2 linked regions of the Coturnix japonica genome follow. The protein of the gene in region 2 purifies or fractionates together with the protein of the main gene of each other region. This does not show direct contact. Links are inferred from orthologs where the notes say so. Each region holds a gene or a part of one and is shown on either strand. Other genes may lie near its edges.

What was found. Proteins that work in one complex are often made in the same cells at the same time.
Region 1: the proteins of GIT1 (region 2) and GRK2 purify together in Homo sapiens (affinity purification with western blotting; 4 studies listed by BioGRID and IntAct, with this or other methods). This does not show direct contact. The link is inferred for Coturnix japonica from reciprocal best matches to the Homo sapiens genes GIT1 and GRK2.

The regions. Positions count from the first base shown.
Region 1 is NC_029520.1:139,169-144,328, reverse strand, and holds the start of GRK2 (beta-adrenergic receptor kinase 1), read right to left. Parts: upstream 3,560-5,160; 5' UTR 3,397-3,559; coding exon 3,284-3,396; intron 3,124-3,283; coding exon 3,047-3,123; intron 2,542-3,046; coding exon 2,468-2,541; intron 2,282-2,467; coding exon 2,180-2,281; intron 2,089-2,179; coding exon 2,014-2,088; intron 1,832-2,013; coding exon 1,770-1,831; intron 1,526-1,769; coding exon 1,474-1,525; intron 1,322-1,473; coding exon 1,230-1,321; intron 1,011-1,229; coding exon 911-1,010; intron 833-910; coding exon 754-832; intron 657-753; coding exon 526-656; intron 285-525; coding exon 187-284; intron 113-186; coding exon 5-112; intron 1-4. UniProt on the Homo sapiens protein: Specifically phosphorylates the agonist-occupied form of the beta-adrenergic and closely related receptors, probably inducing a desensitization of them. Key regulator of LPAR1 signaling.
Region 2 is NC_029534.1:4,842,820-4,848,627, forward strand, and holds the start of GIT1 (ARF GTPase-activating protein GIT1), read right to left. Parts: upstream 3,448-5,808; 5' UTR 3,336-3,447; coding exon 3,284-3,335; intron 1,109-3,283; coding exon 975-1,108; intron 903-974; coding exon 790-902; intron 703-789; coding exon 597-702; intron 518-596; coding exon 431-517; intron 350-430; coding exon 219-349; intron 130-218; coding exon 35-129; intron 1-34. Other genes in the region: ANKRD13B (ankyrin repeat domain-containing protein 13B), read left to right, coding at 4,983-5,093. UniProt on the Homo sapiens protein: GTPase-activating protein for ADP ribosylation factor family members, including ARF1.

The DNA.
Region 1 (5,160 bases), on a different chromosome or scaffold from region 2:
TCACCCGCGGAGCAGCTTGAAGAGCATGCAGCCCAGCGAGAACCAGTCGGCACTGCTGTCATACGCCGTTCCCTTCTGCAGCACCTCCGGAGCCATGTAGCCATGGGTACCCCTGGGGGCACAGAGCGAGGTCAGGGCCGTGCCCAGCAATCACAGGGGAGTGCCGAGATGGGCGGGCACACTCACACGCTGGCATGGGGTTTCTTCTTGGAGAAGTCACAGGCCAGTCCGAGGTCTGAGATGCGGACATGACCGAACTCATCCAGGAGGATGTTTGCTGGCTGCTGGGACATGGAGCCACCCCTGAGCCACAGCCCAGCCCACGGCCATGGGTGGCAGCTGGGCTGAGGGTGCCTGTGCACGTTAGGATGGGTGCAATATGGGGTGCAGGGATGACTGCAGGGTCCCAGAGATGCCCACAGTGCCTAGGGGCTTCCTGCTGGGTGTAGGGTGCCCATAGGACCTGGAGGTCTGTAGGGCCCCCAGATTTCCACACAGTGGGTGGGTGCTCATGGGGGCGGTCACCTTAAGGTCACGGTACACCACGAAGCAGCTGTGCATGTGCTCCAGGCCCAGGATGATCTCTGCTGCATAGAAGCGCATCTCTGCTTCCGAGAAGACGCCGTGCTGAGACAGATGATAGTGCAGGTCTCCCCCTGCAGTAACAGGCGCCAGCAGTCACCCTGGGAATGCCATGGCGGGGAGGCCAGGGGGCTGCGGTGCTGGGAATGGGGAGCAGCTATAGGCTCTCACCGTTCATTAGGTCAAGGATGAAGCTGAGCTTGTCGGGTGTGTGGAAAGCATAAGACATGCACACGATGAACGGGCAGTCCTGGCCAGGGAGAAGATGTCATGCCAAGCCAGCTGTGCCTCAGCACCCCGCATCACCCTGTGCCCTTAATCCCCTCACCCCTGTGCTGACAAGGGACAACATGATGCGCTCGTTGAGGGCCAGCGTCTCACCCTGCTTCATCTTGATGCGCTTCTTGTCCAAGCACTTCATGGCATACCTGGGGGCAGAGAGTCCCTGTGGGGTCCTGCTGCTACCTGGACCCACCACGCCCACTCTTTGACATCTGTGGTCAGACAGCTCCTTCCCCCAACTACCATGATGTATTGCCCCAGAAGGTGGAGACACAGCAATGCTCTGGCACCGCTAAATGCCCACCATCACGGCAACACCGCTCACCCCCCCTGCCCACAAGAACAGAGCTCCCCAGCCCCATTACATTTTGCCTGTGTCTGCTTTCCGGCAGCCGTAGACCTCCCCAAAGCCACCGCGACCGATGATGCGATGAACACTGAAGTCATTCATGGTGAGCTGAAGTGGATCAGAAAGAGGGGATCACCCGATGGTAGCTACCCCCTGTGTGTCCTGGGGGGGTCCCATACCCTGCCTCAGTCTCCTGGAGCTCCCTTAGAACCAGGACCCATATTCCCTCCCTGGCTGTATCCCGAGGAGCAAGGTCTCACATGGATGTTCAGCTCCACATTCTTCCACTGGCAGAACCGCGTGAACTTGTCGCTGCAAGGAAGCACAGAGAGGGTGAGAGCGAGGGACCCCTGGGGAGACCTCTAAGACGCAAGGAAGGGCAGAGGAGATCCGTATTGTGGAGAGGACCCCATGTGGGAAAAGAGACCCCAGGCCAGAACTGGGAGTGACACTGGCCCAACTCTCCAGTGTGGGGACAGACAGCACTGGAACTTCTCAGCAGGAGCCCTGCAGCACCCTGAGAGACAGATCTCCCTGGGCAGTGCTCCTGTCTCACCTCTCAATGAATTTCTGGAAGATGCTCCCACGCAGGTTCTGGCAGATCTCCTCAATGTAGGGCTATGGGTAACACGGGGGTCAGCATTACATCCCCAGTACCACCCAGGTCCGCCCCATTCCCTGCAGGTCCCACCTCTAGGTGGGATATCTCACACCTCCACTACCACCTTCTGCCACCCAAGGCCAGCTGTCTCTGGTGACCCCAGTGCCACCATCCCCTCCACGTCACGGACAGCACTTACCTGGAAGAGGTCTGGGGGCACCTGCTTCTTGCTCAGGAGGCTCTGCACGTGCTCTGTAGCACTCTTGGAGAATGGCTGCAGGGCAGGACAGCACCACATCACCGTGAGGAGGTGGACACGGTGGTGGAATCTCCTGTGGCTTGGCACGATGAGGCACAGCACTCACATGGGAGCAGGCCAGCAGCTCCTTCATGATGTAATGGTCGTAGATCTGGCGGCTCCTGCTCAGGCGCTCCTCCTCCGAGTCCAGCTTCTCGTATTTCTTGATCTGCCAAGGACACAGATTGCATGGTGAAGAGGGCACAGCCCCACAAGGAGCACACAGTGCACAGTGTCTCGTGGACACCTGTGGATATCAGGACCCTGGGCACTGAGTGCATTGCTTCCAGGCATCCAGGGCACCACCTCCCCCAGGTGCATCAGAGGGTACCCCATCCCCAGCCCCACATCACACCTCTTCGTAGAACTCCATCAGGGACTTGGCTTCCTCAGCCTGGTTGAGGGCGAAGTCCCGGAACAGCAGGTACCCTGGGGTAGAGGCAGTGCTGCGAGCGGTGACCGCATCACAGTGTGGCACCCAGGCCGAGCGATGTGGTGCCACACAACAAGAGCACAGCAGGCTGAGAAGGGCTGTGGGGCTGCCAGAGGAGGGCTATGGAGCTAAGCAGGGCTGTGGGGCTGCCAGAGGAGGGCTGTGGGGCTGCCAGAGGAGGGCTATGTGGCTGCCAGAGGAGTGCTATGCGGCTGCCGGGAGGGCTACTAGGCTGCCAGAGGAGGGCTATGGCGCTGAGCAGGGCTATAGGGCTGCCGGGAGGGTTATGGGGCTGCCAGAGGAGGGCTATGGGGCTGCCAGAGGGCGGAGGTGCCGGAAACCACCAGAGCCGCGGGGAGGAAGCAAGAGGCGCTTCCTGCCCAGGACAGTTAGTGCGAGGGGAAGCGGCGGGGCGGGGCAGGGCGGACCGAGGGGGGGGGGGGGGAGGACCCCACCCAGCCCCTCCGCAGCCCCACGGCGGCGCCCGCAGCCCCCACTCACCGATTCTCTGCGCAAAGATCTTGTCGAAGGTTAATTCGCCCCTTTCCTCGAGGTACTTCTGCATGACGCTGCGGATGCTGGGGGGCGGCCGGGGCTCAGCTCGGCCCACACTGCCCCATACTGCCCCTACGCGCCCCGGTGGTGTCTGGGGACGGGGGCTCCGTAGGGGCACGGCGGGGCCGAGGGCGGCAGGGCAGGCAGGGCCCGGCCCGGTGCCCCCGACCCGACGGCACTCACCTGGGCTCGGGCAGTAGGATCCGTTTGGAGGCGCGGGCGGCGGGTGCGGCCCGGCTTTTCTCCATGGCCATCAGGTAGCTCACGTCGGCCAGCACAGCCTCCAGATCCGCCATCTTGCGCGGGGCCGAGGCCGGCACCGGCCCGACCCCCAGCAGCGACCCGGAAGCGGAAGTAGGAGCAGCCGGAAACGCGTTGGGCTGGGCCCGAGCTGTGCGCGGGGCTGAGCCCGGAGCTGCAGTATGGCAGTAGTTGCAGTAATGCTGGAGGAGCAAAGATGTCCAACCCAGCTCCGCAAACAACCCAACAACCAACAACCAGCCAGGAACAAACGGCCCCTCCGTGCCCCCAACACCCCCCGGCCCCAACGCAGAGAGCGCACGCGACTTGGTTTTGCTTGAACCCTTAACGCTTACATTTAATTTGAAAGCACAAACATCGGCTGGACTCTAAATTGCCAACAAAAAATATATATTTACAATATGTCTCCGAGGGGGGAGAAGGGAGGAGGGGGGGGTCGAAACGGAACGAAAACACAACGAAACCTTTAAACGATGGGGAGTTGTTGCGGGAGGCAGCCGGGCGCGGTGCGGGCGCTTTAAATCACTGAGCGATCCCATATACAGAACTCTCTCTTTGTGTATTGGGAGCTCGCTGTCCCTGCGGGGCTATGGGGCTGTATGGAGGGGCTGTATGGGGGGGGTCCCGCACCGCTCCCCTCGCTTCTGTCCTGGTGGCAAAACTCAAACAAATGAACCCAAGAAGAAAGAAAAACGCCGCAGCAACAGCCACCAGGACAGAGATGGGGGCTCTGCCCCCTCCTTCCCTAAACCCCCCCCAGCGCTGCTCACAGCCCGCCCGCAGCCTCCTCTCCTCCCTTATTGCTTCTGGGGGCTGCGCTGTGCCATGCACCGGGGAGAGGAGCAGCAGCCGGGCACGGGCAGGGAGGGGAACGAAAGAGCGACCCAAAAGATGCCAACTTTTTTTTTTCTTTTTTTTTCCCTCATATCTTGAGTTTTTTTTCCGATTTTTTACTTTTAATTTTTTTTGCTTTTTTTTTTTTGTTTTTTTGTTTTTTTTTTCTTAAAGTGCAAAAAGCTCTCTGCTGCCCAAGAGAGAGGTTCTTTGGACCAACCGCTCATTGCAAAGGAAAAAACGGCAGCTAAAATGGGGTGGGGGGGAGGGTGGGAGATGAGAGGACAAGGCAGCGAGGCAGCCCTGCCACACGAATGTCAGCGCTCGGCCGTGGTAGGCAGCTGGGGAGGGAGATGCAGCAGCTTCCTCCCCCCCCCCCCCCCCCCCCCCCCCCCCCCCCCCCCCCCCCCGTGCTCACTCACCCGCGGCTGATTATTCGAGTCCTCCCTGAGCTCTGGGGGCTGCTCCCCCAGCCGAGCCTCGGCCACTGCCTGTGCACAGGGCTCTGAGGAAGCGCCCCAGGGTGGAAGCCCCATCCCCAACCTTGCCGCCATGCCCAGGCTGGAGGGCTCCTGCCCTCGCTGCTGCAGGGGAAGAAAGGAATCCAAGGGCTGGGTGAGGGGGTTTAGAGCAGGGCTCGAGCTGGTGGTGGCACCGAGAGAGAGGGCCCGTCCCAGCTCTGCTCCCTCCTCCTTGGAGAGGCCTCAAGCTTTGTGCTAACAGGGAAGTGACAAGTGTTTCAAGGCAAGGAGCTGGGGAAAAGTAGGGGGAAGAGGGTGCGCCCCGTTTCTCCACCCAGGGATCTCGGCAACAACCTCCACCTTGGGAGCTCCCTGCTGCGGGCCCGGTCCTCCTCTCGTACTGGCCAGCCTGGGGGGGATGTCCACATCGGCACAAGTCCCAGCGGTAGGAGGAGGAAGGACAGCCGAGCAAGGCCAGTACCGGCCCTGCCCACGAGGTGGCAG
Region 2 (5,808 bases):
CCCCCCCATGCAATGCGATGGGTGCAGCACTCACCCGGCTTCCTGCCGCACAGGTAGAAGGCCAGCCGGTCGGTCAGCTCATACTGGCACTCCACCAGCCGCTCTGCCAGCTCGTGCTGGGCCGCCTGCCTACGGGGCACGGCCGGGGTGACACCAACCCTGGGCTGGCCACGTCCCTCCCATCCCAACACGACCCCCCACCACCCCAACGCTCTCACCTGGCGTAGTCGATGGGTGTCCTCCCATTGACGTCGGGCGCACCAGGGTCAGCACCGTACACCACCAGCAGCTCTGCCTGCAGGATCTGCCCTGCCTTGGCAGCCACGTGCAGCGGTGTGGTGCCCTTCTCCTGTGGGTACAGCCGGCGTCAGCCCCGTGATGACAACATCATGCCCCCCCCCCCGGGCTGTCTGCCCCCCCCAGAGCTCACCGGGTGGAAGAAATTGGCCTGAGCCCCCAGTGAGAGCAGCCGCAGACACGTCTCCAGGTTGCCCGTCCGCACGCTGGAGTGCAATTGCTGCAGGGGGAGAGGCAGCAGTCAGTGCCAGGAGTGTCAGCAGCACCAAGGGGGGGTCCCCATCACACCGTGCCCCCACCTTGCTGAGGTCCTTGGCGGTGACACCATCATCATCCCGGCACGGCAGCTTGTGCACGAAGGCCAACATCTGGTACTTGGCGCGGATGAACTCTGACTTGGTGGGGCTGGAGACACAGGGTGAGGGGGGGGGGACATCCACCACAGCTCCCCCCATCCCCACAGCCCCATCCCCACACACAGCCCTCACTTACTGCACTTTATCCTGGGGATTTGCCTTCCTGCGCCCGCTCTGCACCTGCGCCGGGTCCAGCAGCGAGTGCTCCCAGATGGAGTTGGCCCCATTGCTGGCCAAGGTGTGCACCATCTATGCATGGGGGGGGGCACAGTGAGCCGATGGGACACCCCCCTTGTAACCTCCCCCCCCGGGTGCACCCACCTGCAGCAGCGTGGCGGGCCAGGGGCTGTGCCGCAGGTGCTTGACGATGGAGATGTGGCGGCCCAGGCTGCGGTGCACGCTGCAGCACTCGTCGCAGATGAGCACACCGCGGTTGATGGAGGCCCAGCCCGGGTCTGCAGGGGGCGTGGGGTGTTATGTAGGGGGGGCTGTGTGTGGGGGGGGGCAGCGTCACCGTAGCAACATGGCGGTTTCCAGGGTGACGGAGAGGGGCTCAGCCCATCGCCAGGGGAAACCCAAAGGGTTCCCTTAGCAACCAAGGGGGGGGGGCAGGATTTGGCCCCCTCATCAGAAGGGCTGACAGCAGCGGGGGCGATGCCAGCACTGTGCAATACACCCTTACGTGCCGATGCTGTGTCCCCTGTGCTGCGGGTGTCCCCATACAGGTGGGTGCCCTCCCACCCACTCAGCCATCACGGACTCAGTGGCTGTGCCCCCCCCAGCAGCCCCACGCCCCCTGCCCGGCCCCGCTCGGCCGCACTGGAGCCCTTTGTGTCCCCAGGAGAACAAAGGGACGTTTGAGCACTGTGCTGGCACCGGCCCCGCTCCAGCCACGGGGGCCCCACCGTTCTTTGGGGGCAGCTCCCCACAGCCAGCACCCCAATGGGTCCAGATCCCCCGGCACCAACAGAAGGGATGGGGGACAGATGGGGTGCCACCCCCCCCTCCACAGGGGGCAGGGGCAGGGTGGGCCATACGGTCCCCAGCGTCCCTGTGCCATAGCAGAGGAGTGTTGTGCATCTATAGGGCCTACACAAACACCGCGCCGCCCCACGGGAGGAAGGGCTGCGGGTGGGAGGGGGCAGCAGCACCACCAGCGACCCACCCCCATCACCCAGTGCGGCGCTTCCTTCCCACCCCCTCCCCAAAACCCCACTGCTGCCCCACACCAGGCAGCCCCGACCCCTCTAATATGGGGGGCACAGCCGGCAGCGGCCACAAGGCAGTGTTGTCGTCGTCCCCCCCCCCAAATCCTGGCAGCACCGCCCGGGCAGATGGCAGCGCTTGGCAGCAGCACCGCCGCATCTGCGCCTCCGCACCGCGGCCCACGGGGCGCTGCCGGGAACAGGATGCTGCGTGCCGGGGGGGGGGCACCCCATATAGCACCCCATATAGCACCTCATATAGCACCCCATATAGGATCCCATATAGGACCCCATACAGCACCCCATACAGCACCTCGCAGTGCCACCCCTTCCTCCTTCATTGGGATCGGGGCGGCTGAGGGCACAGCAGAACGGTGCTACCCCATAACCCGGAGCAATGGGAAACTCCATCCCTGCGCCGCGGGGGCGATGCCGGAGCCGGGCACCCCGCACATCCCGACACCGGCTGCTCCCGGCCCCGCGATGTCGGAAGCGGCCTCTGGACTTTATAACTCATTTCCTCCCATGGCCGCCGGGCGATAAGGGATTGGGAGAAAAAGCTTTCCATTTCCCCCATAGGAACCTCGGCACCGCCGGGTACCTTATAACAGGGGCTGACCCACAGCAGTGGGTGACCCCGCAGCCCCCCATGCACGTGGCCGCCATCCTCAGGGCTCTGAGCCGCTTTCAACGTTCATTCATTGCCCCCAGCGCCGCAGGGATGGGTCTGGGGGTCACAATATGGGGGGGGAGCCATCTTTAGGGTATGTTATAGAGATAATGGGGTGCAGCGGGGATTCCCAGTGCGGGGTGTAAAAGGGGAACCCGGGGGTAAAGTAGGGGGTGAAGAGTGGGGGGTAATGGGGGGCAACAAGGGGCTGTAAGAGATAGAACAAGGGGTCTGGGGGGCACAGGGGGCATTTTAGGGCTCACTGTAGGGTTCCTGGGTGCAGAACAGGGGCACCGGGGGGCACAGTGCTGGGTGCCGAGAGGGAAAGTAGGGGTACAAAGGGATGGGGAATGGGGTGCACCGAGGGTTGCAGGGGGAACGGGGGGGGGGTTTATTTAGGGCACGTTGTGGGGTTGCTGTGGGCAAAGAGGGAGTCGGCAGGGTATGCAGGGGGAACCCTGGGCTCCTGGGGTCTCAGCACGGGGTGTGAAGGAAGGGTGGGGGTCACTGGGACCCCTGGGGTAAATAGGGGGTGCGGGGGGGGGAGGGAGGCACCGGGGTATCGCGGGTACAAAGCTGGGGGTTCAGAGCGGGGCAGCGGGGTCCAGAGCAAAGGGGGAGGGGGGCGTCATCCAGGTGCTGATGCTGGGGGGGAGGGGATGGAGGCACACGCACAACCGAACTGCGAACGGCCCCGCGTGGAGGAGGGTCGGGGGGGGATAACGCCGACGGGGCCGGGCGCGGCCCTTCCCTACCTGCGGCACTGCAGTCCGCGCACACCTCCGCCCGCTGCGCCTTCCGGGACATCCTCAGCGCCGAGCCGGGCCCGGGTCTCTGCGCCAGCGCGGAGCGGGGCCGGGGAAGGGGGGGATGGGGGGGTCGGGTTGGGGAGGGGTCGGGGGGGGGCGGCGGGGCTCGGGGCCGCCTCGCCCTCCTGCCGCCTGCCCTGCCGGCTGCTCGCAGCCCCGGCGGCTCCGCAGGAAGCGGCTCAGGCCCGGCCCCGGCGGAGGAGGAGCAGAACCGCCCCCGCCCCGCGCAGCGCAGCGCAGCGCAGCGCAGTCACGGCGCGCCCTGAGCAGCAGCGGGTGATGGAGCTGCGGCCCTTTGGGGCGGATCGGGGCCCGTCCTGGTGCTGGTTCTCGTCCTCATCCCGGCTCTGTCATCCTCTGGTTCTGGTCCCGGTTCTAGTCCTGATTCTGTGCGTCTCCTTGTTCTTGTCCCCATCCTGGTTCTGTTCCTGGGCATTCCCTGCCTCTGTTCTGGTCCTGCTTTTGGGTATTCCCTGCTCCTGGTCTTGGTCCTGGGTTAGTCTTGGACCTTGTCCTGGTCCCGGTTTTGTCCTGGACAACCCCTGGTTCTTGTCCTGATAGTGATCCGGATCCTGGGCATCCTCTGGACCCGGGCCTGGTTCTCATTTTGGTCCTGGTTCTGAGTTGGTCTCATTCTAGGCATCCATTGGTTCTGGTTTTAGCCTTGGTCCGTGTCCCGTTCCAGGTTCTGACCCAGCCCATGTCCCGGTTCTGATTCCATGCACTCCCCGGCCCTGCCCCCAGCCCCATTCCCAGCCCAGGGTCCCATCCTGCACCCGCACCCCCGAGGCCCCAAATCACCCCGACCCCCACCCCCACGATGGCTGAACCTGGCATAGTGTGTGTGGGGGGGTTTGATACTGGGGGTGCCCATCTCTGTGCCGTTGTCAGATGGGGTCGGGGGGCGCCACCCCCAGCCCGGGGGACCCCGATCAGCGCCCGGGGCTGGGGGCACAGCGCCGTGTCACGCTGCACCCGCCCGGCGCTGAGCTCACCGCTGCATGGCCGTGACGTCACGGGACAGCGGGACCTTTGGGGGGGGGTCGTCACGGCCACAGCCCACCATAGGGGCGGGGAAGGAGCGGGGTGACCCCGCGGGAACCCCATAGGGGCGTGGGGAGGGGTCGGAGGGTGGGGGGGGGGCAGCCGTGGGGCCCAACCTCGCATTGTTCTCTGGCGGCTGCCGGAAAACACGAGCGGAGGGACGGGGGCGGAAAGGGAAATGGGGCCGGGGGGGGGTCGGCACCCCACGGGCTCATCGCGGGGGTCGCGCTGCTGCGTGTTGAGCGCCCGTGGGTGGGGAGAGCGGGGGGGTGCGATAAGAATTCAGGTTGTGCCTTCGGGCGCTGCGGAGCCGTCCCCGAACAGCCCCATACAATGGGGGGGGGCATAGGGCCGGCGGGGGGTGCGGGGAGGAAAAGGAGGAGGAGGAGGAGGAGGAGGAGGAAGGGGCGACGCCGCGCTCAGTGACTACAAGTCCCATGAGGCCGGGCGGTGCGGGGGGAAGATGCGGGGGGGACCGTCCGGGCGGCTCCCACCCACCCCCCCCCCCCCACCGCCCCGCCCCGCTCCGCGCCCCGTTCCGCCCCGCCCCGCGCCCCGCTCCGCCCCGCGCCCCGCTCCGCCGCTCCAGCATGAACGGAGGATGCTCGCGTCTTGCTCGGGCAGGAAGGGGCCGGAGGGCAGATACCCGCTGCATTACCTCGTCTGGCACAACCGAGCCCGGGAGCTGGACCGGGAGCTCAGCGCCAAGCAGGTGGGGCGGCGGTGCGGAGCGGTGCGGTTCCGTTCGGTTCGGTTCGGGCTGATGCAACGCTGCGAGCTGGGCTGCGGCCGGGGCTGGGGCTGAGGAGAGGGATGGGGCTGGGGCTGGGGCTGGGGTCCTCCTGCCGCGGTGATGCTGATGGGGTGGGGGTCCCCTCGTGCTCCCCCCGGCGCTGTGACAGCCGTCACCGGAGCAGCAGAGATCCCCCCCATCTCGCATCCCCCCACTCCCAACCCCCCACATCCCTCCCCACGTGTTCCCCTCTCCCTCCTAGGCCTCTGTGCCTCCTCCCCAGCACCAGCCCCCCCCTCCCTCTCCCCGGAGGTGGGGTGCAGCCAGCACAGCCGCCCCAGCTCCCCACCCTCCGGGGGGGGGGGGCACACAAGGCCTTGCTCTGCTGAAGCGCAGCCCCCAGCCCCAGGCAGCCAGGAGGTTCTGTGCAGGGTGGGGGCACTCTCTGTGTGTGCTCCCCCCACTTCCAGCCTCCATCTCCCCATTGGCGTTGCAATTCAGGTAATTAAAACCCAACCCTGAAGACGCAGGAAACCGCAGGCTCTGGAGGAGGCCATGCCTTCCTTCCCCCCCCCCCCTCCAGCCACAGTCACTGCCACCTGCCCCCCCGCCACCCCGGGGTGCTGGGGGCCCAGCAGGGTGGGTGTGGGCAGGGGTCTCCTCGTGTTACGATGCTGCCATTGGGATGCAGAGA